7 linked regions of the Callithrix jacchus genome follow. The protein of the gene in region 5 purifies or fractionates together with the protein of the main gene of each other region. This does not show direct contact. Links are inferred from orthologs where the notes say so. Each region holds a gene or a part of one and is shown on either strand. Other genes may lie near its edges.

Evidence for each region.
Region 1: the proteins of KEAP1 (region 5) and TSC22D4 purify together in Homo sapiens (affinity purification with mass spectrometry; 4 studies listed by BioGRID and IntAct, counting the BioPlex papers as one, with this or other methods). This does not show direct contact. The link is inferred for Callithrix jacchus from reciprocal best matches to the Homo sapiens genes KEAP1 and TSC22D4.
Region 2: the proteins of KEAP1 (region 5) and OTUD1 purify together in Homo sapiens (affinity purification with western blotting; 3 studies listed by BioGRID, with this or other methods). This does not show direct contact. The link is inferred for Callithrix jacchus from reciprocal best matches to the Homo sapiens genes KEAP1 and OTUD1.
Region 3: the proteins of KEAP1 (region 5) and MCMBP purify together in Homo sapiens (affinity purification with mass spectrometry; 3 studies listed by BioGRID and IntAct, with this or other methods). This does not show direct contact. The link is inferred for Callithrix jacchus from reciprocal best matches to the Homo sapiens genes KEAP1 and MCMBP.
Region 4: the proteins of KEAP1 (region 5) and GABPA purify together in Homo sapiens (affinity purification with western blotting; 3 studies listed by BioGRID). This does not show direct contact. The link is inferred for Callithrix jacchus from reciprocal best matches to the Homo sapiens genes KEAP1 and GABPA.
Region 6: the proteins of KEAP1 (region 5) and PGAM5 purify together in Homo sapiens (affinity purification with western blotting; 6 studies listed by BioGRID and IntAct, with this or other methods). This does not show direct contact. The link is inferred for Callithrix jacchus from reciprocal best matches to the Homo sapiens genes KEAP1 and PGAM5.
Region 7: the proteins of KEAP1 (region 5) and NIBAN2 purify together in Homo sapiens (affinity purification with mass spectrometry; 3 studies listed by BioGRID and IntAct, with this or other methods). This does not show direct contact. The link is inferred for Callithrix jacchus from reciprocal best matches to the Homo sapiens genes KEAP1 and NIBAN2.

The regions. Positions count from the first base shown.
Region 1 is NC_133503.1:13,245,114-13,249,311, reverse strand, and holds the start of TSC22D4 (TSC22 domain family protein 4), read right to left. Parts: upstream 2,801-4,198; 5' UTR 2,398-2,800; intron 1,947-2,397; 5' UTR 1,678-1,946; coding exon 916-1,677; intron 1-915.
Region 2 is NC_133508.1:23,883,459-23,887,699, reverse strand, and holds the start of OTUD1 (OTU domain-containing protein 1), read right to left. Parts: upstream 2,801-4,241; 5' UTR 2,418-2,800; coding exon 975-2,417; 3' UTR 1-974. UniProt on the Homo sapiens protein: Deubiquitinating enzyme that specifically hydrolyzes 'Lys-63'-linked polyubiquitin to monoubiquitin.
Region 3 is NC_133513.1:112,978,467-112,981,966, forward strand, and holds part of MCMBP (mini-chromosome maintenance complex-binding protein), read left to right. Parts: intron 1-1,959; coding exon 1,960-2,125; intron 2,126-3,486; coding exon 3,487-3,500. UniProt on the Homo sapiens protein: Associated component of the MCM complex that acts as a regulator of DNA replication.
Region 4 is NC_133522.1:31,940,315-31,944,532, forward strand, and holds the start of GABPA (GA-binding protein alpha chain), read left to right. Parts: upstream 1-1,418; 5' UTR 1,419-1,518; exon of another isoform or gene 1,519-2,103; intron 2,104-4,218. Other genes in the region: ATP5PF (ATP synthase peripheral stalk subunit F6, mitochondrial), read right to left, coding at 1,386-1,402.
Region 5 is NC_133523.1:9,696,606-9,700,878, reverse strand, and holds the start of KEAP1 (kelch-like ECH-associated protein 1), read left to right. Parts: upstream 1-1,473; 5' UTR 1,474-1,523; intron 1,524-4,252; exon of another isoform or gene 4,253-4,270; coding exon of another isoform or gene 4,271-4,273. Other genes in the region: S1PR5 (sphingosine 1-phosphate receptor 5), read left to right, coding at 4,271-4,273. UniProt on the Homo sapiens protein: Substrate-specific adapter of a BCR (BTB-CUL3-RBX1) E3 ubiquitin ligase complex that regulates the response to oxidative stress by targeting NFE2L2/NRF2 for ubiquitination.
Region 6 is NC_133510.1:135,914,500-135,917,999, forward strand, and holds part of PGAM5 (serine/threonine-protein phosphatase PGAM5, mitochondrial), read left to right. Parts: intron 1-2,982; coding exon 2,983-3,161; intron 3,162-3,500. UniProt on the Homo sapiens protein: Mitochondrial serine/threonine phosphatase that dephosphorylates various substrates and thus plays a role in different biological processes including cellular senescence or mitophagy. Modulates cellular senescence by regulating mitochondrial dynamics.
Region 7 is NC_133502.1:176,149,496-176,152,995, reverse strand, and holds part of NIBAN2 (protein Niban 2), read left to right. Parts: intron 1-3,020; coding exon 3,021-3,149; intron 3,150-3,500. UniProt on the Homo sapiens protein: May play a role in apoptosis suppression. May promote melanoma cell invasion in vitro.

The sequences.
Region 1 (4,198 bases), on a different chromosome or scaffold from region 5:
AGGTTATTTTTATACTGTGGTTTGTGCCCAAGGCCAGGAAGGGGAAAGAGTTCGCATCCTCACACTCCCTGCCTTTCCCCAGCCCTCCGAGGTGTTATTTTCTCCCGCAGGACAGAAGTATTCAATCCCCATGTCTCTGGCTTCTCGCCCCCACCCTGGGGACCCAGGCATCCTGCCCCCCACCCCCAGCCCAGACTTGTTCCTCTTTTGGAGACAGGAAGGAGAAACAGTACGGGGACTGCATTCCTCCTCAAGTTCTTCTTGCCTGGAGGGAGTTGAGCCAGACAACTGGGGAGTGAAAAGGATCAACCAGCAAGCCCCTTCCCCATCCCAGGGAGGTGTTCCCCCCACCCAATTTCTCCATGACACTTGGCTTGCAGCAAAGCTAGAAGTGGGACTGCGATGGGTGGCTGGGGGAAAAGAAAGACCCCACATTCAGGATGGGGCTGCAGTGGAAAGAGACTGGCAGCATACAAGGCCTACCTTTTACCATTCCTCCCCAAATCCTGGCAGCTCCTACCCCAGGGACCCAGCTACCCAGCTGGGGCCTCCACCCTCATCACCTAGAGCCAGAGGAGCTGAGACCAAGACAGAAGAAGGCCAGGTGAGGAGGCCACATATGCCAGGCCACGTGAAAACCAAGACAGAATCAGAGGCCAGAGAGAAAGAGAAAGGGTGCAAAAAACAGGAAGGAGGCTGAGGCAGAAAACCAAGGAAGGGGCTTGAGAGTGACTTGGCAGGCACAGAGAAGGGGCTGTCTGATCTGATAGACAGGTGATGGAAGAGGAGGAGGTGGAGGAGGAGGAGGAGAAGGGATAGGAGGGGGGAGGAGGGGGAGGGAGGCAGAGGTAGGGAGGCCCAACATGAAGGTCAGGCCAGGGCTGAGATGGGCGAGCCCTAGAACCCAGGTCTTACCTGCCCCATCTCCTCTGGAGCACCCAACTCCATCCGCAGCCGCATGTCTACAGCCTTCCTCCGGGACAGTGGAGGGGTCCTGGACCCGGAGCCCCCAGCCTCTGCTTCCACCCTCAGGGAGGGCAGGGGTGTGGCAGCCCGAGATGTGCCCCCGCTCTCCCCAGTCCCAGGCTCTGGGGGGCGCTGCTGAGGCGGGGAAGCCGACAGTGGGGGTGTCTCTGCCTTGGCTTTTCCGGGCACCACCAGCTGGCCCAGCCCCCCAGTGAAGGAGCGGGCCTGAGGTCCGGGAGAGGTCGGCGGTGGACGGAGCCAGGAGGTGGGGCCCTGAGACAGGCCTGACTGTGGGGTGGGGGTGCCCAGGCCGAGGCTGGCCAGCTCCAACCTGGAATCCAAAGATCTGCCCCCAGCGCCCGCTGATGTCCCTCGAATTCCCTCCAGGAGGCGGCCAAAGCTGTGGGGCTCCAGGTCTCGCTCATAAACATCCACACAAGTCCAGCGACCTCGGCGATAAGGCTCTCCCAGGCCGTGGGGCAGCTTCACCACCCGGAAACGGGAGGAGGGGGCCCCAGGTGGGGGAGAGCCATTACGGGGGGTGCCCTTGCCCCCCGGATCAGGGCTGTGCTCCCCATTTGGCAGGCGGGGTGGGGGCCCGGTGGGGGGCAGTGGGCCAGGGGGGTCCGAAGCCGCTGGGCTCCCCGGGCCCTCGTAGTCCGTGGTCACGCTGGTGATTTGGAAACTACTCTTCTTCTTGCCCCCGCTCATGGTCCCTGGGGCTCAGGGCTGGGCCAAGGTTGGGGGTAGGCTGGGGCTCCTTGAAGGGGCTCAGGCACCCCTGGAACAAGGGGGCCACATGGTGGGGGCATCCGGGCCCCTGGGGACGTCTGGGTCCGACATGGCAGGAGGGCCTGGCGGGAACCGGGGGTGCCTGCTGGGTGAGGGGAGAGGAGGAGAGTGGAGGTGGCAGGAGGGGGGAGCAAGGGCAGGTTTTTCCTGCTGCTGTCGCTGCTGAACTCCAGAGCTGAGTTTGCAAACTGGAAAAAGACAGAGAGAGAGAGAGAGTTTATGTGTGTGTCTGTGTGTGTGTGTGAAACCAGTGGGCAGGCCACCTCCGGGGCTTCCTCTCCGGGGAGCAAAGTGGGGGAAGAGGAAACCGTCAGAGAACCAGAGGCAGGCAAGAGATGACAAGAGACCAGGGCAGAGGGGACCGGATCCCAGAAGGCGTTCAGGGTAGGAAGAGGCAGACGGGTCCCAGAGTTGAACATTTCTCGCTTGGGATTCCGACTCAGGGATCCTGCATTGTCCCAGGAGCTCGGACTCCAGGGCCTGGGAGAACCGGGGTGAAGCAGCTCCCCAGCCTGGCCCGGCCACCCAGAGAGAGACCTCTCCTAGGCCTCCAGCCCCCACCCTCACCCCAGCTCCCACATCTTTGGGTCAAGCCCTGCCAGGCTACCCCTCTGCGCCCCGCCCAGCCACAAGCCCTACCTCTGGGGCCTCGGCCACTGATCTGAGCCTGGGGGTCCCGGCGCCTAAGAGGTAGGGCTGTCGGTTCCCTGGGGCCTCCTGGCCCCGGGCAGTGGCGGGACTCGCAGGCGGCGATCACAGGCTGCCCCGTCCTCTTCGGGGGCCGCAGCTCATTCTGCGAGGCATCTCCGTGTAAAGTTTGCTCTCCGAAAAGAAGGAACCCGAGCCTCCTCCGAGGAGCCCAAGCGCGGCCTCTGAAGCACCAAGGGTCTGGAGACGATGTGGGAGGGGGCGGCGGAGTCCCCCGCTGCTCCCGGTGGCAGCCGGCGAGTTGGTGTCCCGAGTCTCCTCCCGCGTGGCCCCGCTGGGTCCTTGTCTCCGCTCCTCGGCTCCCCTGGGTCTGCCTCTCCGTCTTTCTCTTTCTGAGCTGTTGACAACCCCCACACCAGGAAGTCCTGCCTCCTCGGGCCTGCTGACTGCTCCTCTCCTCCTCCTCCTCCTTCCCCTCTTCCTCCCCTTCCTCCTCCCTCCCTCCCTCCTGGGGCTCCCCGCCAGCTGGCCAGGGGCCAGGCCTGCCACAGCCGCTGCTGTTGCAGTTGTTGCGGCCGCTGCTCAGGCTGCTGCTCCTGGGGGCCGCAAACAGACTCCCTTAACCCCACACCTGCCGGGCCCCAGCACCACTCTTGCAGGGAGGGGCTGCAGAGGGCGGGGCTCGGGGAGAAAGGGGAGGAGCTTGCAGGGAGGCGAGGGATTCCCTTACTTGTAGTCAATTGTTGCCCCTCTCCTAGAGACTCACCAAAGAGAGGGACGGCACAGGCCTGGAGGTGTACTGGGTGCCCCCCCAGAAGTGCCTAGTTCCTGCTGTGGGGCGGCTGTGGCTATTACCGTCATTCTCCTTTCCTTTCCACAGCAACTAAATGAGGAAGGTACTATTATTCCCCTCATTCCTTATTTTTAAAAGTGGATTATTGCCGAATACTGTGGCTCACACCTGTCAATCCCTGCACTTTGTTTGGGAGGCCGAGGAAGGAGGATAGCTTGAGACCTGTTTGGACAATATAGCAAGACCCGGCCCCTACAAAAAATAAAAGAATTAGTTGGGCATGGTGAGGTGCACCTATAATTCCAGCTACTCAAAGGCTGAGGTGGAAGGCTCGCTTGAGGCCAGGAGTTCGAGACCAGCCTGGGCAATGTAGCGAGATCCCTGTCTGTACAAAAAATTTTTAAAATTAGCTGGGCATGGGGAGGTGCACTGGTAATTCCAGCTACTCAAATGCTGAGGGAGGAGGATTTCTTGAGCCGAGGAGTTTGAGACCAGCCTGAACAATATAGCCAGATCTCCATCTCTACAAAAAATTTTTTAAAAAATTAACTGAATGTGGTGATGTACACATATAGTCCCAACTACTCAGGAGGCTGAGGCAGGAGGATCTCATGACCCCAGGAGGTCGGGCCTGCCATGAGCCAAGATGCACTCCAGCCTGGGCAACAGAGTGAGATGACATTTCATTCAGTGAAATGACATTGTTCGGGAGCCAGCTGTATTTTGCTAGACTATTTGAAATCAAATCCTGGACATTATATTATTCCCCTCTCCCCCACCCTCCTCCTTTTTATTAGAGACAGGGTCTCTCTCTCTCTCTCTCTGTTGCCCAGGATGGAGCACAGTGGTGTGATTAAAGCTCACCACAGCCTGGAACTCCTGGGTTCAAGCCATACTCCTGCCTCAGCCTCCCAAGTGGCTAGGACTTTAGACGCATGCCACCACACCCAGCTAATTTTTAAATTTTTGTAGAGGTGGGGCTGTCACTATGTCCCCCAG
Region 2 (4,241 bases), on a different chromosome or scaffold from region 5:
TTTTTTGCCTTTTGAAAGAATGTAAAAGAAATACTAAGACAGTGTTCTCCTGCTATAACTGCCAAGGTTGGCTCCAGACATTTATGACATTAGTTTATAAATCTCTTAGCTGGATCCAAGAAGTTATATAAAGCAGGAGGCTTATCTTGTCACAAAATTTTATACCAAGTTAGATTCTCTTATAACAAAGTGACAAATGTAAATAAAACTGAGAGCACCAGACAATTTACACATTAACCAGGGTACAGAATAATCACTCTGTCATCGGCAAATATCAGACTTTCATTCAAGTAAGACCTGGTACTATCCCTTAAAAGAAGAAAAAAAACCTTCCCACAACCTTCTGTTAAGTATTTCTCTTTAAAAGATTCACCATTTCTAGAAAAATAATTATTTCCAACAGAACAGATTTGTTTCATCAAAATGGAATGGGCCAAACACTTGGTAACAAGAATACATCAATATCCATCTGAAATAATTATCTAAGAATTGTGAAAATCAAATTTCAACAACGTAAGAACTACCAAATCACAAACTCTGTTCAAAATAATACATTTCATATAAAGCACTTCTCTGGATTTATGCTTGAAAGCTGTCAAAATGGGACACGTCATAGATGAAGGTACACCAGTTTTTAAAAATGTTGTGCAAAAATACATTTTTATAGAAAATAGACTACCAGGAATGAACAAATTTACACTGTGAGAAAACAGCTTGCAAATTAAGTAGTGCTCACTTTATACAGCAAATTATAAATAGCAGTAAAATCACCCTAAGCTATCATGAAACATCATTTGGGTGCCCAGCAACCTTCAGCTCTGAGAAAACATTCAAAAAGATGATTAAGGCATTACACCTACAGTAAAATCTACTAGGAAGTTTGAAAGTGCTATTACCCTGATTAGAGTTCACGTGATTCTCCAAACACAAGTTATGTATGCAATTTTCCCAGGGTGTTAAGGTTTTGAGACACTTCAAGAGCATGCGTTTTGTTCAATATACATTTTAGACAGGGATATGGCCATAGATTTGGCAAGTTCTTCATCGCGTTTCCTCTGCACTTGAGTTTGTTTGCACCAGTTGTCGTACTCTGGGTTAGGATAGGAGTGATCAAATACAGCATCATAGTGTCCGTTACTGAGCCAACTGAGCCAAATACTGGGCCTCAGGGAATCCTCTGGGCCCAAATAATGAATCATGGTAGACACCGTGGGGCTCTCCAGCCTCCCTCCAGTAGTTAAGTGGATATTCACATTCAGCATCTGCCCCATGGCCAGCAACTCGGGGTACCCAGCCCATGCCCCGTCTTGGGCAGCAGCGATGAGAAACTCCCCTACGTCGCCCTCAATCAGGGGGTTGAAGTGGTCGAGATGGTCGGCGATGTAGTGCACGGTCTGCTCCCTCAGCTCTCGGTGCAGGCTCTGGTCGCCGTACACAGTCTTGCTGACAGCTCGGTACAGGCAGTTGCCGTCGGGAATGATGTGGAATCGATACTTATTTCTCTGCCGCAGGTATTTATCCTGCTTCTCCACCTCGGCCAGGTACAGGGCCAGCTTCTCGTCTCTGGGATCCGACCTGGGGACAACCACCGGCTCCACCGCGCTGCTCGGGGCAGCCTCGCTGCTCCGGCCGGGAGACACCTCGGCCTCCGGGTCGGGCCTCCGAGCCGCGTTCCCGCCAGGCGCGTCGCAGCGGTCGCCGCCCCTCTCCCAGGCCCGGGGGCCCCTCTCCGCCAGGTGCTCCTCGCCCCACGGACCGGGGCCGGCGTCGGGACTCCCCGGGGTGGGCGCGAGGCCTCGATGCTTGGCAGCGGCCAGGGCCTGGCAGTGCTCGCTCAGTCGGAAGTTCCGATCGGGCCCCTCCCGGGCCGCCTCCAAGCCCGTCTCGGGGCAGTCGGGCCGCAGCAGCTCCTCCAGGAGCCAGGCGGAAGAGCCCCGTCGCGGCGGGATGGGGGCTGCGGGCGCCGGGGCCAGCAGGAGGCAGCGGCCGCGCGGGGCGGCCGCAGAGCCCGCGGCGCCGGGAGCGGGCTCGGGCCCGTGCAGCAGGAGCCTGTCGGCGCCCAGGGCCCGCACGGTGATCTGCGCGGTGGAAGTGTAGTGCGGCGGCAGTGGCGGCTTGCAGGACGCGCTGGGCGGGCCGGCGGCTGCGGATCCGGGCGCGGTGGCCCCGGACACCACTTCGAAGCAAGAGGAGAAGGCAGGCATCTTGGCGGCGGGGACAGCGGCGGCTTCCCGGGGCTCTGTGGCCGCGGCGGGCTGGCACTCACCGGTCTCGGGCTCGGCGCCGGCGGTTCCCGGGGGCTGCAGCGAGACCTTGAAGGGGGCGGCGGCGGTGGCTGCAGGCGGCGCGGGGGCTGCGGCCGTGGGACCCGGGGCCCCGGCGGGGTAGTGGGTGCAGACGCTGCTGTAGAGCTGCATGTCCCTGCCCGCCGCTCGGCCCCTTATAGGCGCGGCGAGCCCCCGAGCGGGGGACACACCCTCCGGGCCCGGGGGAGGGGGCCGGCGGAGCGCGGTGACCAAACGGCCCCAGAATAGAGATGAGCGCCCGGTCGCCGGCCGCCGCGCGTCAGCAGCCGCGAATAGCTCCCGGGTCCCGGCCAAATTCCTGCTGCGCCACAGCGTGGGGGGAGGGCGGGGACGGGACGCGCGCTCGACCCCTGCCGGTGCGCTCGGCCTGCAGACCCTGGGCGCCTTGCCCGCTGCAGTTGCTGCGGCGGCCGCAGGGGACTCTCGGAAGAAGCTACCCACCCCGCTAGAGCGCGTCTCGCCGACAAGGAGGAGCGCGGGGCGCGCGGAGGCCCGGGAGGCGGGGCCGCGGTTGTTTACCTCAGGCCTCGCGGCCGCGTCACATGACCCCGCTGGAATGCGCGACTCGTCCGGGCGCCCGATTCAGCAGCACCGACTCGCCCCACCCACTCCGGCCCGCGCCCCGCCTCCTGTCCCGCTCCGCTGTGCCCCGCCGACGTCACGGGCGTAGTCCCCCGCGCGCGCGCGCGCACTCGCGCGCGGGCGGGGCGGAGCCGGGGGCGCTGAGGCTCAGGGGCCTGCGCAGTCTTGAGATTTCTGGCTGGGCCTCCCGCCCACGTGACTCCCGCGGACCGTTTTCCCCACCTGGGGACGGGTTTCTAAGCTGCGCCGCTCTCTGCGGTGGCTGCAGTGGATGCTGCGGGATGGGCGCTGCTTGGGGCGAGCTAGCATGCTTGGAAAGCTTGTGTGGCAGGAAAGCTTCCGGGCTGGGTGTGGAGGACGGAATGCTGCCTTAAAGCCTGTTTGGCCTCCCCATGGTATTGGGCTACCATACCTGCTTGCGTTCACCACTGCTTCTTTTCTTTTTTTCTTTATTTTTTTTAGAGATGAGGGTCCCTTCTGTCGCCCAGGCTGTAGTGCAGTGGCTCAGTCAGAGCCCACTGCACCCTTGACCTCCCGTGGCTCAAGCGATCTTCCAGCCTCAGCCTCCAGAGTAGCTGGAAACCACAGGCGTGCACCACCTCACCCAGCTAATTTTTTTTTTAAGGCGAGGGCCTCACTTCAGTTGCCCAGTCTGGTATGGAACTCCTGGCCTTAAGCTGTTTCCCGCCTCAACCTCCCAAAGTGTTAGGATTGATTACAGGCCCAAGCCACCACGCCTGGCACTACCACATCTTTTACCTTTTTTTTTCTTTTTGAGGCAAGGTCTTGCTTAGCCATCTAGGCTGAATGCAGTGACGCCATCATGCCTCGACCTCCAGGGTCCAAGCGATCCCCCTTCCTCAGCCTTGCCTTGGGTAGGGATTACAGGTGCCCAGCTAGTTTCACCACTGCGTCTTTTGTAGGCGCTTCCTTGGACTCACCTGTTAAGAGTGAGTCCTCTAGTGGATCCTCCTGCCCTGCTAAGACAAAACAAACTTTTCTGCACCTCTGACCTATGCCACCTGGTAAATATCTGACTTAGGCGAAAGCAAGGAAGCCTTTCATAAACAGCCGTTCTCAGAATACCAAAAGCATTATCACTTAGGGCCTTTTGAAAATAGGTACAATTGCTAGCCAGAGGTCAAAAGCAGTGGAGAAAGTCGTGACCTGCATTCTAGGGCAAGACAAACTAAAGAAAATGCTTCTACCGAGTCTTTTTGTAATGCCTGCCTTTGTAAGGGAGAGCCAGAGGTGGTGGGAGACTTTTGCTCTGTTCTGAGCTTTGATCAAATGCTAAATTTAACAGACCCAACACATTAAAATTGAACCTAGAGGTTGTCCTAAGATTTTAGA
Region 3 (3,500 bases), on a different chromosome or scaffold from region 5:
CATTCAACCCAAATATTTAACTTAGAGATATAATAGATCTTATTTAAGGGGAAACAAACCCTGCCAAGTTACATAATTTAAAATGTACTTTCCCCTAAACGTTTCACTTTTTTTTTGTCTAAGCACAAATTTCTGTCAGTCTTAACAATTAATACAATTGCAGTAACTCCCTTAAAATTATACTCTGTTGATACCCATTTGTTTGTGCAATTTGCCATCCTTTTTGCGCACTAAAATCTTAAATCTAAATGAACTCTAAATTATAGGAGCATAATTCTTTTAGCTGAGGTAATAAAGTTCTTTGTCTCCATTTACCCAGTTTTAATTCCTGTTTGGAAAGTTGAGCTCACTTTATTTGCCAGGGTATCTAGAATGCAGTATTTGTGTGGTGCTAGGATCTTGGGAACAGGGGAATTGCTTCTGATTAGCTGTGTGACTGAAAATAGTGATCCCTTCTTTGGAAATTGAAGAGGTTGCACTAGATCCTCATTGAACCAAATGTATTGAGTGTCTCAGTGCTAGCACTCGTCCAGGCCCTCAGAAGCACAAGTGGACCAGAATACTCCAGCAATTCTCAGTCTCCTTAGACTCACTTGACACTCTGAAAAACGTATTAGTACTCAAAGTGCTGTTTTTCACATTTTTCATGTTATATTTATCATTAATTTACCAAATTAGAAGGTAAAGCAAATATATTTATTAAAAATAAAAAACTACATATAGACAAATATTTTTATAAAAACAACTTTTCACAAGCCAAAAATGGTTAGTGATAAAAACAACATTGTTTTACATTTTTGCAAGTCTGTTTAATGTCTGGATTAATAGGAGACAACAGATGCTTGTATCTGCTTCTGCCTTCAGTCTGTTGTAATTTGAGGTTTTGGTTGAAGTATATAAAGGAAAGCTGGCCTCACACAGTTGGAAAGGTAGCTGGTAAAGGATGGTTTCAATAGCCTTTGTAGGTAACTTGGTGCTGGCCTGTGATAGTAGACCAAAACTATCCACATGACGTTTTCTTTTTTTTTTTTTTTTGAGATGGAGTTTCGCTCTTGTTACCCAGGCTGGAGTGCAATGGCGCGATCTCGGCTCACCGCCACCTCCGCCTCCTGGGTTCAGGCAATTCTCCTGCCTCGGATAAAATTCATTAGTCTCACACATTGAAAGGATCTTTTCTTCATACATGATTTTGACCTGATTGACCCCAGAAAAGTGTTTGAGCAATTCCCTGGGGATTCTCTGGACCCCATTTTGAGAATTATTGAAACAGTCAGATCCTTTGCCCTTACGGAGTTTAGGTAAAGGACCAACAAATAAATTAAGCCATGGTAGGTCATTTAAGCTTCCCTAAGCTCCCCTGTTTTTTTAGATTCACTGAGCTAATGTATAAAACACCTCTAAATTTTGGCAATACGTCTTACCTCTTCCTTGACAGCCTTCCCCCGAAGGGGTAGAATAATGATTGTTGTATAAAGCAGAGCACAGAGTGTTGAGAGTGGTGGCTCAGGAGCTGGAGGAGGAGCATAGATGGGTCGCTTACTCATTAGACTAAAGAAGAAGGTGCACACAGCCGGGAGCCATGTCCTGAGAGCTGCAGCATGTCACCACAGCTCAGTGTGCTCTGCTCCTTGATTTTTCTCTGAAAAGTTTCTTCAAAAATGTCTATGATGAATGAATGTAATTTTAACTCAAAGAATATAGAGGAAAATTAAACTTTTCTCTCCCCATCTTGAAGAATAAAATTAATATTTCCTTTTTACTAGCTTGCATTAGGTGAAAGAAGTTAGGCTTTGGGATATTTAATATTTGTACGTCAGTTATCTACCATTTGTTTCATTGGTTAAATTAAAATTGGTAAGATCACTTTTTCCATATGAAACACAGTGTTTAACTCCAAGTGCATATTTCTTAAAACAGGGAAACTTAAATTCTTGTTCACTAAAAAATTTTCCTTTGCAGTCTTTTCGTCTGCAGATGACTATAGAGAACATGAACCATTTGAAATTCATTCCCCACAAAGACTACACAGCCAATCGCTTGGTCAGTGGGCTCCTCCAGCTGCCCAGCAATACTTCCCTTGTAATTGATGAGACTCTCCTAGAACAGGGGCAGCTGGATACCTCAGGTACGTACATAGAAATTTCCCTTCCATTTCTGACTTCGTTCTTGCTAAAGCCAGATCTAGGGGTAACTTTCTGAAGAGTATGGACAAAGACAAATTCACATTTAGCAAGTATGTAAGATAAAGGCTTGACATGTAACTTTGATTAAAGCATATATTAAAAACTAATCAAATTGTATAAACCAACTGTGTTTTGCCATAGTATTCTGAAAATAGTACAGTAGAACAGTTGGGTTTTTATTTTTTTGGTGGGGGAGTAGAGACAAGGTTTCACTATGTTGCCCAGCTAATCTTGAATTCCTGGGCTCAAGTGATCCTCCTGCTTTGGCCTCCCATAGTGCTGGGATTAAAGGCGTGAGCCACTGCACCTGCCCAAAATAGCTTTTTAAAAGCTGAAATGGGGCCAGGCACAGTGGCTCACGCCTGTAATCCCAACAGTTTGGGAGGCTGAAGCCGGAAGATCATGAGGTCAGGAGCTCGAGACCAGCCTGGCCAACATGGTGAAATCCTGTTTCTACTAAAACAAAACAAAAATTAGCCACACACGTGGCACACGCCTCTAATCCCAGCTACTTGGGAGGCTGAGGCAGAATTGTTTGAACCTGGGAGGCGGAGGTTGCAGTGAGCAGAGATCGTGCTACTGCGCTCCAGCCTGGGCAACAGAGCAAGAAAAATGAATGAATGAATGCTGAAATGGGAGGAAGCTTTGCTTTTAGTCATTTAATACTTCAAAAGAGAAGTGTAGAAAAGATCTAATAAAACATTTTTCACCTCCAGTTGTAAAGCTTTTAAATGGGTTTCAGAGAATCTCTAAAAAAAATGATAGATCAAATGGTTTGAACTAACTTCAGTTATGGAACATATTATAAAATGACAAGAAAGCAGACTTTTATCTGTGCTCAAATGAAGACAATTAAGATTATACTGCTGGTGATCAGTTCAAGAGGTAAAGGTAGAATTAAAAAATGAGGTAGACTGGGCATCTTTGAGGCAAAGGGGAATATAAAATCAGTAAATTTCACTAGCCTGGTCTACATATGAAGATAGTTTCAGTCCTTTCTTACTTCAGCCCTGTGGCTACACCACCTAGAAATAATCGTACTTACTCGGGAACTATTTTATGTCTAGGTGCATACCAGATGCTAGGTATTAGATTTGTGGCAGGGGGTCTTGGCCCCAGAAAGTTCTACTTTGACTAAGACTGTTGTAAGCCTACACACTTAGTGACGTTTAGCTTAGTAAACTGGCCAGTGCCTCATACCCAAGCAGTAGAAACTTGATGGCTTATTATCAGTGTCAGCAAAACTGATTTGTTTATAGATGATTAAAGTCAAATGACTGAAAATGTTTTCTTGCTTTTGTAGGTGTTCATAATGTG
Region 4 (4,218 bases), on a different chromosome or scaffold from region 5:
GTGGGTGAAGGGGAGAAGAAAAGCAAAGCACACTGCCATGTGTGTACCTACGCAACTGTCTTGCATGCTCTGCTCATGTACCCCAAAACCTATAATCCAATAAAAAATTTAAAAAAAGAAAAAAAAAGAAAAAATAAATAAATAAATAAAATAAAAAATAAAAATAAGCTGTTTACAATAAAAAAAAAAGTTAGAAGGAAACGTTCTTATCTCTGCTTTACAGATCTATGTCTAAGAAGTCAAGCTGCACATATTCATACAGCTAATTTTCTCTAAGTCTGACTGCAGAGATGTTATTCCTGCTACAACATGGGTAAAATCCACTTTCATCGTTTCAATTTTCTATCTTCTAAGTGCCTATCATTCCCGAATCGCATCTCTAATTTTGGTATTCTTCCTGAACCCCAAATCTATACACTCTATTCAACAGTTCTCATCTCCCTTATAAGTTCTACGAACTCATCCAAAAAAATTAACACATAATCTCATACCAAAACTTGTTCCTTCTTTAATCCCTTTCATTTTTTTCACTGATTAGTGAATGCATATTGTCCACTGACTCGCAGAAGACAGTCATTACACAAACAGCTGTGGAATACCACCTGCCATAAATTCTCCATTCCAGTACCATCGGGTGACACGAGAGAATATGATAGCGTCTGACATGATCAGAAAGACTGGGGAACGCAACAGTAAGAAAACACTACAGTCCGAGCAGAGGTCTTGTCGTGGGCGGGAGCAACGTTGTCCCATTACAGTGATGACTGACAGGCCAAAGGTTAGTAGGTTCGCTGTCTCGTCAGTGTATGTTCTTAAGAACAATCCATAAAGCTGCCTAACGAAGTGTTAGCACTATCATCGTTTGTAGGTGGGAAGCAAACTTTCAAGATTATGACTACTCTTTGCCCTCTTTTGGTGGACATTTTGTCTAAGGAGCTAAGACGGCTACTTGCGCCCGGGGCGGGCAGGCCTAGCCGAAAACCTCTCCCGCGCGCCTGACCTTGGGATGCCCCAGCCAGGATGCGGGCCCGAGACCTCCCAGCCTCCCTGCCTCCCGCGCGGCCCCGATTTGCCCCCTGGGAAGGTATCAGTCTTATTTCTAGGTTTAAGGCAAACTCCAAGGTCTAGAAGCGTAGAGGTCAGCTGTGACCCCGGGCCAGGCCGTAAATGTCCCCAGGACACAGAGCTGCTCTCTCCTTCTAGTAGAGCAAAGGTGAGAGGCAGCCCAGCCCTCGTGAAGAAACCCAGATCTGGAGTCCCAAGAGGCCACGCTGATCTAGCTACCCTCCCAGTCACCTTGCACTCAGTACCGAGTTGCCAAAGCCGCCGCAGCCACCACCACCACCGTCCTACTTCCGGCTCTGGCTCCGCCCCCACACGCCTACCCGCCATCGCAATGCATTATGGGCCGCCGTTTCAGTCGGTCGACGCTCACCGGACAGGAAGCGTCTCGGAGACAAGTCTGCGACCGGACGGCTCTAGGTGAGACAGAAGCCAAACAGGAGGAGGAAGTAGAGGGTAAGTGCTTCCGGGTCCCGTGGCGAAGACTCCGCCATCTTTTCTTCGCCTAATTTGACCCGTTCTCTTTCCCTCCTTGAAACCTTGCTCTGTACGCATGCGCACTTTGTCTAACCTGTCCCCTAGTTCAAGCTGTCTTTCGACTCAGCGTCCTGTTCCTTAGGGTTATCGAGGTGTATAATGGTACAGGGAAAGTGAGACTGTGTAAAACAAAGCGGATTGGGGCGTTGTGCTTCCTTGTGCCTCGTGAGCCTCCGTTGCCTTGGGCGTTTGTTTCGCGCACCCTGCTGGGAGTTGTAGTCCTGGACCTGGAGGTGCTTGGGAGGCGGGAGGGGGGTTGGGGCTTCTCAGCGCCGATTCCGCGGGAAGGGCCCTAGGGCCTCACACTTCTAGTCGCGGGAGCTGAAGGTCTTACCCGGAGAGACGCAGCACGTGGAGCCTGTGCCGCTGCCATTCTCAGCCGGCTCTGGAGCGCGGGCGGGGGCCACAGGGCCGATTCCGGAGCTGGTGAGTGCGGCCGCCGGGGAGGAGGGGAGCGTGGGCCCGCGCGGGCCGGCCTCGTTCCGGGGCCTTTTCGCCCACAGCGGCCCCCCCGCGGCCGCCTCTGTGTTTTGTTTCCGCTGGTCCCCGGCGCTGTGACTCCCATTTCCGTTCGTGGAGACTTGAAGGAGCCGGGTGGGGAGGGGCGGGAGAGGCTGTGCGGGGAGCAAAGGGGAGGGGCGGGGGGCGAGCGGCCGGGAGCCTCGGGGAACCGCGCGTCCCCGGTACCCGCGCTGGACGGGTCGCCTGTCACCTCTCCCTCCCTTCCCAGTCCCCTCCTCCCGCCAGTCTGCATTCCGCGGCAGTCTCAGCCTGCTCAGCTGGGATGTGGTCCTGACACCCCCGGGATTTTAAGAGCAAGATGCAGAGCCTGTCTCATCGCGGGACTCAGCGATTCACTCACTTCAAATCCACTCTTTCTAGAACGACACAGTTACAACAAAACCATTTGTCAGTCTTTATGGTATCCGTCAGGGTTTGTGTTTTGTTTTTAAGCGAGGAAGTAAACCAGGGAAATAACAGGGTAAAGTAGCTTCCCTACTTTTTAAAGTGCCTTGTGTGCTAGAAGACACGCCGGGTGTGCGTGTTCGGATTTAGGGACCCCAGTTTGATCAGATTAGCGGCCGAGAGGACAGTGCCTAATACTGTATTCCAAGATGATTAGAAATTTAGAAATAAAATTCACTTCATAAGTAGTTTCCACTAATACACGTAGGTCTTACTCTTGAGAGGAGCAAAGATTTAGCAGGATTCCCTTGAGCGAATTGCAGAACAGGGCGGTGATAACATTCTTAGGTAGTGTTATCTGGAACTTCAGAAGGAACTGCTCAGCTCTTTAGCAACTGCTTAAGGGACTAGCCTGTCTCTCAGGGTTCCATCCAGACTTTCCAGGCTTCTTTATATTTAGACATACACTGACGCTGGGTGGACTTAAATCAGTTCTACCTGAATTGTGTATACAGGAGCATCTGTCATGACGCATGTATAGTATTGAAGTAATTAAATCCTGAGCTAGATGTTAGGCTGAAGCAAGTCATAGGACCGAGTACTAAATTAAAACGGTTGACTTTACCCTTCCCTCAACTCTTTATATGTAAAACTGCAAACCTACAGAAAAATTCAGGGAAAAAAATCATACAGCGAACACCCATATACCCTTCACCTGGGGGGTCTCAACTGTTAATCTTTCACTCTGTGTGCTTTCTCTCTTTAAATTACATAGATGTATATGCTTTGCTTTTTCTTAGCTGCTACCTTTATTTTTGAAAATAAAAATGTCTTTTAATTTCCGTCGTACTGAAAAGCATCTGATAACTTGGGAAAATGTGCAGTTAATCTCGCAGGTACCCCCACACTCCACTTAGTTTTATAATTACAATATATTGGGAGGAAAAAAGCTCTGTAATTAATGCACTCCAGTGAATCCTCAAATAGGTTGACAACCCTCAAATTTATCTGTAGTTTCAAACAGGAATGTTCCACCTATCAGTATTTTAAAAGACACAAGCTGTTCCCAGAACTTTTCGTTAAATTCAACTTCAGTTTGTATTCCATCTTGTGAAACGTTCCGAACTCGGTTGGATGGAATCTAGCAGTACCAAAGTGTCAATGAAAGTATATGAAGTTGCTCTATGCAATTCTGACGGGGGCAGCCTTTAGATGGAGAGACTGCAAGTAATTTTCTCTCAATTTTCCTAAGTATTGACATACAAACCTGGGGAATTGGTTTCAGAAAAAGATAAGACTCACTCAAAAACTGTCATGAAAAATTTGGACTGTTTCTCAAATCTCTGTTTTGCTTCTCTAGACTAAGCATAGAGAGCCGAGAGAGAAAAAGATCATTTAAGAGATTGGGTAATATTTTTTGAAAGATCATTTAAGAAACTGAGTAATATTTTTTTTTTTCTCCAAAAGGGCATGGGTTTTTGTTTGGTTTGGTTTGGTTTTTTCTCTGGCACTTTCTAGGGAATGGTCTGTAATTTTTTTGAAAGGTCATAGGACAAATTTCTTTTTAACAACTTATTTTAGTGTTTATATTAGGGGTGCTGTTTTATAATCTTTAAAAAATTGGGAGTAGACCTCCTTATAAGTCCTGAAAATAAATGATTTTTTAAGTGCTGCTCTGCTGTAAACCTGATTCTCACTTTTTTCTGTGTAATT
Region 5 (4,273 bases):
CATCAGGGCCTGAAGCATCAGGGGCAAAGGGCAAGGTCCTGGAGAAGCAGCGGGACCCAGACCCCCCTTCCTGAGTCTGAGGGTGGAAGAGCTGAGACCATCTGGAAGCTCCTGGGAAGTGGGGGTGGAGGCATTTCGGGGCCAGTGGGAAGGGTTGGTTGGAGGAGCAGTGGCCTGGGAGAGGCGTGGGAGAGTGACACAGACAGCAACAAAGAGACACGCAGAGACAGAGAGACACGCAGGCAAGAGATGCTAAGATCCTCCTGAGAGAGACACAGAGGACGTGAGGGAGACATTCTTTCCTTCATTCATTCATGCAGCAGACAATGGGCACTGGCTGTGTCCTGGCAGTGCCCACGATAGACTCAAATCCCTACCCCAATGGACAGGCTGCGGTGGCTCACACCTGTAATCCCAGCACTTTAGGAGGTCCAAGTGGGAAGATCGCTTGAGTTCAGGAGTTCAAGACCAGCCTGGGCAACATAGCAAGATCCTGTCTCTATTTAAAAAAAAAGTACCTGGGCATGGTGGCAAGCGACTGGAGTCCCGGCAGCTATGTTCAGGGGGCTGAGATGGGAGGATGGCTTGAGCCCAGCTGGTCGCAGCCGCAGTGAGTTATGATGGTGCCACTGCTCTCCACTCTGGGCGACTGAGCGGGATCCTGTCTGGGACAAAAAAAAAAAAAAAAATCCTTACATCGGTGGGGTTTACTGTTACTGACACAGTCCAGAAACACCATTAATGAGTAAATCACTTCGTCCTCAGCAATAAGGGTGGGAGAGAACCAGTCGGGGGAACGCGGAATCCAGGGGGTGGGACTGGACAGACCCTCCTTATCTAAGGAGCATCAACTTCCCAGAACAATCCTGCCCGCCCGTCTCACCCCTACTCGCCCTGAGCCGGGGGCGGGAGCGGGAAATTGGGAGGGGCCTGTGCCCGGGAGCAGCAGGGACTTATCTGCCGGTGGGATCGGACTCAGGCTAAGGTGGCCCCTGCTGAAGACTCCTGCTAAGCAAGCACTAAAGACCCCTCCGAACCATCGACGGGGCGTCCTTGGGGTGCAGCCCAGGAAGCTCAGTTCACAGGTGCGTGGGCAATGGGGAGGGCGTAGTGCCTGGACACCCAGGACAGAGGAGACCCCACCGCTGGGGAGAAGAGGCTCGAGCTGCGACCGTCCTGCCGCAGAACCCTCCCTTTCCCGCCTCCTCTCGGAGTCCTCCCTTCGCAACGGAGCGTCCCTGGGAGGGGGCAGCCCAGGCCCGGAGCGGGGAGCTGAGGGCTCGCCTGTGCCAGTCGCCGCCGGGGCGCGTTCCGGTGCCGCGGCGGGTGGCACAGGCTGGCAGCCACGGGCTGAGTGCCCGGGACCCGAGGGGAGGGGCAACTGCTGGCGACCGCCGGCCCTTTGCGTCGCTGGCCAGCCCCTCGCCGGCTCCGGCGAGGCTCCAGCCCCGCCCCCCGGAGCGGCTTCTGCTCACTCAGCTCAAGGCAGCGCGACTGCGGGGGGCGCACGATCAGGGCGCAGGGTGAGTGGAGCGCACTGGACCCATGTGGGCGCAGGGCTGGGCCTGATCCGGAGGGCAGTCGCCCTGGCTGCCACCTTCCCTGTCTAAAAAGGTGCACCGCACCGCCCGTTGCAGGGAGTTCCCCGATCTTTTCCTGGAGGCCTCTGGGGAGGGGGAAGCTGGGGACTCACCAGCTGGGTGCGGGGCCTGGGATAAGGGGAGAAGGTGGCTGGAATCACCCTGGCCTCACCCCCTCCTGGCCGGGCCACTGCAAGTTCCCACACTTCAGTCCTGTTGCCGGGCAGGCTGGGCCAATGGGGGTGGCCTCCCATCAGAGCTTGTGTAAACCTTGTCTTCCTCAATTTGGGCTCCCCATCTCCAGCTTGGGAGAGCCAGAGACTTCCTGTCTGTCTATATTTGCCTGCCTTGGTTCTCTGTGTGTGACCGAAGCTCTCTGGGGGTGAACGCATCTCTGCCTTGTGCAAAAGAAGTCCATTCCCCTCCCTAGGCCTTGCTTTTCTCATCTGAACTTGCATGAGGGCCGTTTCTGCATGGATGTTTGTGTGGGAGCGTGGAAACCTTTGTACCTGCTTTGATACGAAGCATTTCTTTTGAGCCTCAGTTTTCTCACCTGTACATTGGGACTAAAGGAAGCAGGGATTGATGTGGGCACAGAGGGCAGGGTGCAGTCCCTAAAGCCTGTAATCCCAGCATTTTGGGAGGCTGAGGCAGGCTCATCAAGGGATCAAGAGATGGAGACCATCCTGGCCAACATGGTGAAACCCCTGTCTCTACTAAAAATACAAAAATTAGCTGGGCATGGTGGAGCATGCCTGTAGTCCCAGCTACTTGGAAGGCTGAGGCAGGAGAATCGCTTGAACCTGGGAGGCCAGCGTTGCAGTGAGCTGAGATCACAACAGTGGCACTCCAGCCTGGTGACTGAGCAAGTCTTCGTCTCAAAAAATAAATAAATAAAAATAAAAAATAAGGACACAGAGGCAGGTGAGGAATGTTATTATACTTTAATGACACGTGTGCCCCTCTGCAAGAGCCTGTCAGCCCCTTGTGGATTCTCTCTCCTGTCCTCAGGCTCTGCCTTAGTAAAATAAATTAATAGGATCAATTTTCCTTATTTTGAGACAGAGTTTCATTCTTGTCTCCCGGGCTGGAGTGCAGGGGTGCGATCATGGCTCACTGCAGCGTCTACCTCTCAGGCTCAAGTGATCCTTCCACCTCAGCCTCTTGAGTAGCTGGGATATAGGCACATGTCACCACACCTGGCTAATTTTTAAATTTTTTGTAGAGATGGAGTCTTACTATGTTGCTCAGGCTGGTGTCAAACTCCTGGGCCCAAGTGATCATCCCAGCTCAGCCTCCCAAAGCGCTGGGATTACAGGAGAAAGCCACTATGCCTGGCCAAGGAGCAACTTTCTCATGGGGTTTTTGGGTGGATGAGGGGGTTTTGGCAGGAAAAAGCTTTGTGTGCAGTGAGACAAAAGTGTGGAGTTTGGTGTCATGGGCCCCAGGCTAGTGTGAGTGGAGTTGTGAAATTGTGGCCTGTGCCACTGGGTGGGAGACCCCTTATTCATGTGACTGAATTTTTTTTGTTGTTTGTTTTTTGAGACAGAGTCTTATTCTGTTGCTCGGGCTGGAGTGCAGTGGCGCAATCTTGGCTCACTGAAATCTCTGCCTCCTGGGTTCAAGGGATTCTCCTGCTTCAGCCTCCCGAGTAACTGGGATTACAGGCATTCACCACCACACCTGGCTAATTTTGTATTTTTAGTAGAGACGGGGTTTCTCATGTTGGTAAGGCTAGTCTCGAACTCCCGACCTCAGGTGATCCACCCGCCTCGGCCTATTATAGGCTCCACGCCCTATAATTCTATTTTTTATTTTTTAAAGACAGGGTCTTGCTCTGTTGCCCTGGCTGGAGTACAGTTGCACAATCAAGGCTCACTGCAGCCTTGACCTCTGGGGCTCAAGTGGTCCTCCCACCTCAGCCTCCTGAGTAGCTGGGACTACAGGTGCACACCATGCCCGGCCAATTTTTGAATTTTTTTGTAGAAACAGGGTCCTCCTATGTTGCCCAGGCTAATCTCCAACTCCTGGGCCTCAAGCAATCCACCGGCCTCTGCCTCCCGAAGTGCTGGGATTACAGGAGTAAGCTACCACACGCAGCCGTGTGGGTGCGTGTGTGTGTGTTTGTATTTGTTTTTTGTTTTGTTTTGTTATTTTTTGTTATATTTGTTTGTTTTTTGAGACAGAGTCTTGCTCTGTCACCCAGGCTGGAGTGCAGTGGTGCAGTCTCAGCTCACTACAACCTTCCTCTCAATGATTTTCTGCCTCAGCCTCCTGAGTAGCTGGGATTACAGGCATGCACCACCATGCCCAGCTAATTTTTGTGTTTTTAATAGAGATGAGGTTTTGCCATGTTGGCCAGGGTGGTCTCCAACATCTGACTTTAGGTAATCCACCTACCTCGGCCTCCCAAAGTGTTGGGATTACAGGCGTGGGCCACTGCGTTCAGCCATGCATGTGTTACAATGTCCCTTTTTTGAGACTGTATGTCACCTTGTCCCCTTGTGATATTATTTGTGTGTCCGTCTGTCTCCACGGACTCTATTCCTCCATCCTGAACTCCCCTTGGGCCCCATGTGTGGGGGGTGATGGTCAGGGAGTAGGACCCCTTTCCCACGGCTTAGCCGGCTGCCGGGGATGGTGGGCTGACACCGTGTCCTGCCTCTCCACAGCCTTGGGGCGCGCGGCCCATG
Region 6 (3,500 bases), on a different chromosome or scaffold from region 5:
CCTCTGTTCCAGGACCCATATAACAAGTAGTTTTCATGCTTCCTTAGGCCTTTTTTTTTCTTTTGAGATGGAGTCTCTCTGTCACGCAGGCTGGAGTGTAGTGGGAGGTGAACCCTTCACCTCCTATCCTGCCTCAGCCTCTTGAGTAGCTGGGATTACAGGCAGGCACCACCATACCCGGCTAATTTTTGTGTTTTTAGTAGAGATGGGGTTCCACCGTGTTAGTCAGGCTGGTCTGGAACTCCTCACCACGTGATCCGCCAACCTCGGCCTCCCAAAGTGCTGTGATTACACTTGTGAACGACCACACCCAGCCCTTAGGCACATTATGGCTATGACAGTTTCTCAGACTCCTGATGATCGTGGCCTCCTGGTTGGGTATTTCGTAGAAGGTCCCTCAGTTGAGATTAAGTCTAATGTTTTTCTCATGATTACACTGGAGTTATTTATTTATTTATTTATTTTTGAGACCGAGTCTCGCTCTGTCATCCAGGCTGGAGTGCAGTGGAGCAGTCTCTGCTCACTGCAGCCTCCATGTCCCAGGTTCAGGCAATTCTCCTGCCTCATCCTCCTGAGTAGCTGGTACTACAGGTGCCCACCACCATGCCTGGCTAACTTTTGTATTTTTAGTAGAGACAGGGTTTCACCATATTGGCCAGGCTGGTCTCAAACTCCTAACTTTGTGATCCGCCTACCTCTGTCGCCCAAAGTGCTGGGATTATAGGCATGAGCCACCGTGCCTGGAGTTGTATTCTTTTTTAAAAAATCAGTACAATATTCTGAATTTCTAAGGAAACAGATTCACTCTGAGGTTAAAGAATTTGAGGCCGGGCGCGGTGCCTCACACCTGTAATCCCAGCACTTTGGGAGGCCAAGGCGGGGGGATCACAAAGTCAAGAGATCAAGGCCATTCTGGCCAACATGGTGAAACCCCATCTCTACTAAAAATACAAAAATTAGCTGTGCATGGTGGTGCACACCCGTAGTCCCAGCTACCTGGGATCCCATCACTGCACTCAGCCTGGTGACAGAACGAGACTCCATCTCAAAAAAAAAGAACTTGAAGTAGGCCGGGCACGGTGGCTCACGCCTGTAATCCCGGCACTTTGGGAGGCTGAGGCAGGCGGATCACTTGAGGTCAGGAATTCAAGACCAGCCTGGCCAACATGGCAAAACCCCGTCTCTACTAAAAATACAAAACCTAGCCAGGCATGGTGGCAGTCACCTGTAATCCCAGCTACTTGGGAGGCTGAGGCTGTAGTGAGCCGAGATCGTGCCACCACACTCCAGCCTGGGTGATAGAGCAAGACCCTGTCTCAAAAATAAATAAACGCGTAACTTGAAGTAGAACCGGGAGTTGAGCCCAGCCTTTTGTCACTGAAGCAGGTATTCTGTATTTGCTTGCCACGTCCGGGGAGAAGTGAACTGGGCTTTGTGGGCTGGGGAAGGACTCGTACGGACAGAAGGCACGAACTACTACAGCAAGGTGCTAGAAGACAGCATGTTTCCTCCTGCGTCTCACTTCCCCATGCTGGGAAGTTCCAGAGCCCCATGCAGTGCTGGGCTTCCTGTCTCGGAGCCTACAGCTCCCAAATGTTTTCTCTGGCTCAGCCTGACTCCCCCGTACCTGCCAGTGTGAGTCTTGGCCTGGTTTGTGACAGGCTGGCCATGGCCCTTGAGTGACCACTGTGTCCTTCCAAAGCTTCCTTTTCCGCCGCTGTCGCCGGTGTGACCTGTGCTATTGGACTTTTTTGGTCGTTGAGACAGGGTCTTGCTCTGTTTCCTAGGATGGAGCACAGTGCAGTGCAATGGTGAGATCATGGCTCCTTCCCAGGCTCAAGCAGTACTCTCACCTCAGCCTGAGTAGCTAGGACTACAGCTGCAGGCCACCTTGCCTGGCTAATTTTCCTGTTTTTGTAGGGACGGGGTCTTCCTGTCTTGCCCAGGCTGATCTTGAACTCCTGGGCCCAAGCTATCCACCCATCTTTGTCTTCCAAAGTGCTAGGATTCCAGGTGTGAGCCATGAGGTGGTGATCCCTGGCCCCCAGCTGAGCAGCTCTTTCAGATTCCAGCAGCTCTGGAACAGGGCTTCGTAATGGGAATGTTTCCTTCTCACTGTCTGATTTGATAGTCACTACCCCATGTAGCTACTGAGCGTTTGTTTTATATTTTGTGGAGACAGAGTCTCACTCTGTTGCCCAGGCTGGAGTGCAGTGGCACAATCACGGCTCACTGCAACCTTTGCCTCCTGGGTTCAAGGGATTCTCATGCCTCAGCCTTCCAAGTAGCTGGGAATACAGGCACGCGCCACCATGCCTTGGCTAATTTTTGTATTTTTAGTAGTGACGGGGTTTTACCATGTCAGCCAGGATAGTCTCAAACTCCTGACCGCAAGTGATCCACCCGCCTCAGCCTCCCAGAGCGTTGGGAATACAGGTGTGAGCCACTGCACTCAGCCCTGAGTGTCTAAAATGTACTTAGTATGACTGAGGACATGGTGTTTTACTTAATTTTGCTTATTTTGAACTGAAACAGCCGCATAGCTGGTAGCTGCTGTTGGGCATCACGGTTCTAGCTTGTGCTGGCGCATCATGGTCAGGGAGACCATCCTGGCCCCGTGGGCACTTCCCGCCTCCTGTCCTCTTTCCTGGCCTGGCGTTCTCCACGCCCGGGGTTGCGTTCTGGGTGGTCTGTCTCCTCCTGCTGTTCACGGTCTCCCTCCCTTTGTTAGAGAAGAAGGTGCACAGGACTTGGGTGTTTTATTCTTCAGTGCTTTTTCACTCAGAACAGGCAGGAACTAGCTTTGTCGGGGAGAGAGGTGGTGTCCTTGAGACGCCTTCCTGGGGCTGCGCCAAGAGCCTTGTCTTCTCTCCAGGCTCTTCCCAAGTAGTCTGACAATTTGGAAATAACATCTTGTCAGAAAAACTCAAAAGTGATTTGGGAACAGAGGTCGTAAGGACGAATCTTGTATTTCAACATTAGGCGAGAACCACTGTCTCTGATCAACCTGCGGAAGAGGAACGTGGAATCTGGGGAAGAGGAGCTGGCGTCTAAGCTGGACCACTACAAAGCGAAGGCCACACGGCACATCTTCCTCATTAGGCACTCCCAGTACCATGTGGATGGTTCCCAGGAGAAGGACCGCACTCTGACCCCGCTGGGTATGTGGAGGGAGTCAGATAATCTACAGCCCCCTTGGTTATGTAGTGGGGGGAATCAGATCCTCCAAAGATCACTCTTGGTTATGTGGGGGGGGTCAGATCCTCCACAGACCCCCTTGGTTATGTGGGGAGCGTCAGATCCTCCACGGACCCCCTTGGTTACGTGGGGGGGGTCAGATCCTCCATGGACCACCCCCTTGGTTGTGGGAGGGGTCAGATCCTCCACGGACCCCCTTGGTTATGTGGGGGGGGGTTCAGATCCTCCACGGACCCCCTTGGTTATGTGGGGGGGGGTCAGATCCTCCGTGGACCACCCCCTTGGCTGTGGGAGGGGTCAGA
Region 7 (3,500 bases), on a different chromosome or scaffold from region 5:
AGTGGGGCCAGAATGGCTCCCCTGTCTGGAAAGCAATGTCACAGGCAGCCCAAGTCTTAAAATTCTAAGATAAGTGGGCGCCAGCTGAGGGCGTTAAGCATTTCCTCTGCGTGAGGCCCCATTTACTCTGGGGAGGCAGGAGTGTGTATTTATTATAGAAAAATGGCAACAGGTAAGCAAGGAGAGTGAAATGAAATCACCCACAGTCCCTGAAAAGCAGGTATTTTTGGTCTTATTTTGTCCCTCAGGAAACGGATTATCACAATGTAAAGTCACAATAACATCATATTACTAGAGAGAGTATTAATCACCAGTGGTGATAAAAACAACACTGTTTTTTATTAGAAACAATAGAATACAATAAAATTTCAACCAAATTTCTTCTCATAGAGGACAAAATAAAAAAATAAAAATAGTGATAATGATAACACAACAAAAATAAGAATAATCAAACAGCAGTTGTCTTTTCGTTTGTTTTTGCTTTTTTTTAGACAGAGTCTCACTCTGTCACCCAGGCTGGAGAGCAGTGGCACGACCTCGGCTCTCTGTAACCTCTGCCTTCTGGGTTCAAGTGATTGTTGTACCTTGGCCTCCCCACTAGCTGGGACTACAGGCGTCCACCACCCACCCAGCTAATTTTTTGTATTTTTAGCAGAGACAGGGTTTCAGCATGTTGGCCAGGCTGGTCTCGAACTCCTGACCTCAGGATCTGCCTGCCTTGGCCTCCCGAAGTGCTGATATTACAGGTGTGAGCCACTGTGCCTGGCTAAAACAGCAATTGTCTTGTGTCTGTATTGTTTGCTCAGCCACCTGGCCCCACTCTGAGGGAGGGGCTATGATGATGCCCACATCACAGATGTGGACATTGAGGCTCAGAGAGGCAGAGCTGCTTGTCCAGGCTCTGGCGGTGGGTGGTGGTGCTGAGACAGGAGTCCTGGTTGTGACCCCGGGCCTGTGCTGTCTCTGACTGAGGCACTGGAGAGCTTTGCAGAGTCTAAACTATTTTGCCTGGGCTGTCGAGTTCCATTTCATTTCCTGCAGGCCTTCCAATCGAAACACGACTCTGCCATTTGAAAGTCTTAAAAATAAAACCCAAACCCACAGCCAGCCACCCATTGCGAGCTCCCTGGGATCTGGGGGCGGATTGGGTGGTGGGGGTTGTTAAGCCTGCCTAGGTCGCTAGCCCACTTCTGCACAGCCTCCTGCTGGGACTGGCCCTGTCCCTGAGTGCGAGTCCCTGTGTCCTGGGGCTCCTGCCCTAAACAGGGAGGAAGGAAAACCAGAGGCCTCTTGCCTCTTGCCTCTGGTGTTATGAGAGCTCTCTGCTCTTTCTAGAAAAGACAGGGATTTGAGCTGGGTGTGGGAAGTTTATATATAGACCACTGAGGGCAGCTCCATGACTTGGGCAAAGCCCACTGTGTGTAGGGTGGAGGGTGGTAGGGGAACCATTTTCTTTTCCTGTAAATATTTTTGTCCCTGGTAGGAAGAAGCCTGCAGGTCCTATTGTGTGAGCACAATGGGCTCTGCTTCTCCAGGAGTGTTTTGTGTTTCCCCTTGAAAAGCAGCAGGGAGGGAGTGGGGAGAGGGGGACGCGGTGGAGGGTGCACAGGGCCAAGAGGAGACAGGACTGTGAGGATGGGCCTGGGCAGAGCCAGGAAGCCAGGAAGGTGCAGGCACAATCACCCTTTCTCCCATGACTGCTTCGGAGAATTGTTTGTTTTTGCAAAAGTCACCTTGTTTATTTTTGAGACGGAGTTTCGCTCTTGTTGCCCAGGCTGGAGTGCAGTGGCTCGATCTCGGCTCACCACAACCTCCGTCCCTCGGGTTTAAGCAGTTCTCCTGCTTCAGCCTCCCAAGTAGCTGGGATTATAGGCATGTGCCACCATGCCCGGCTAATTTTTCTATTTTTAGTAGAGATGGGGTTTCACCATGTTGGCCAGGCTGGTCTTGAACTTGTGACCTGGTGAGCCACCACGTCAGGCCAAAGGCACCTTATTTATTGTAGAACAAATAGAATTTGCTAAGAAACAGAGGAACACTGTACTCCCCTGGATTCCCTCCCATCCAAGACGAAGCATCTCTCATTGTGGTCTCTCTCCTTCCAAAAGCTTCCTGGTGTTTGTCTGCTCAGGAGGCCTTGCACTTGGCCATAGCTTCCAACTGGGCCCCCAACCCTGGTTTAAAGATCCCCTTCCCCATCCCCAGATAAGTCAGTCCCTGGGGCTGGGAAGCTATCACAGATACTGAGTCCTACCAATAGTGGTCATGGTGGTCCTGTGTATTATGCACCTGCCTGTCAGGTACCAACTCTTATGATTCCCATTTTACAGCTGAGAAAACTGATGCTCAAAGTGACGAAACACGCTGTGAGTCAGGCAGAGTTGGGCTTTGTAGGAAGGTCTGGGCACTTTGCAGCCCATGTAGGTCACCAGTCTACGTAGGTCACCAGCCTGCCAGGACGTGGGTCAGACGTCAAACACCCCCAGACAGAGGCACTCTTCATCCCCACCCAGATTGAGGGAGGCCGTCTCATCAGTGATCAGAGCTGGGAGGTTCTCTGGAGCCACCTTGTTCAAGTTGTCATTGCCCTGAGGGGAAATGGAGGCCTAGAGCCAGGGATAGACTTGCCCAGGCACTGGGGCCTTCGAAGTCTTGGCCTGTGGGTGTGTCCCCTGCGCCTGGAACGACTGCGGGGCACCAGTGCTGCAGCTGTAGGTGGGTGAGGAGCAGCGTGGTGCAGTAGGTGGGTTCCTGTCCTGGGTTCAAGTCCTGGTATTGCCACCCTGCCTGGACCCTGGGTGAGCCCCTCCACAGCTCTGAGCCTCACTCTTCTCATCTGCAGAATGGGTGAGAGGCAGCCAGGCTTCAGAGGCTTTGGGAGGACCCTGGGAGATGCAAAGTGGGGGACGTACTAGGCCGGGGGCTTGCACACAGGTCTGCTGACTGGGCTGTCAGCTTCATGGGGAGCATCCCCCCAGCCCCCGATCTGGGCCTCATTCCCCGCCCCCTCCTGCCCACAGGTGCCACTGGACGAGCGCATCATTTTCTCGGGGAACCTCTTCCAGTACCAGGAGGACAGCAAGAAGTGGAGGAACCGCTTCAGCCTCGTGCCCCACAACTACGGGCTGGTGCTCTATGATAACAAAGTGGTGGGTCTGCCCCAGCGCTGCGCTGAGCCTCTTCGCCTTCTCCACGTGTGCCTCCTCCCCACTCAGAAACTTAGGCCCCAGAAGCCACCCTCACACCGTCACCAGGGCCAGAGCGCAACCTCAGCCCCTCCCCTCACCCAACCTGCAGGCTGCCTTGGGTGCACTCTGGACAGCAGCCCATTCTTCATCTCTGGGGAATACCGCTGACTCCTGTCCCTCATAACCAACTGTCACTCACTCTTCCCCATCCCTCTAATCTCTCTCCAGTCCTTCCAGCTCCAGGGCTGGAAGGAGCTACCAGCCCTGCCACCTCCTTTCCTCCTGCCACCTCCTTTCCTCCTGCCACCTCCT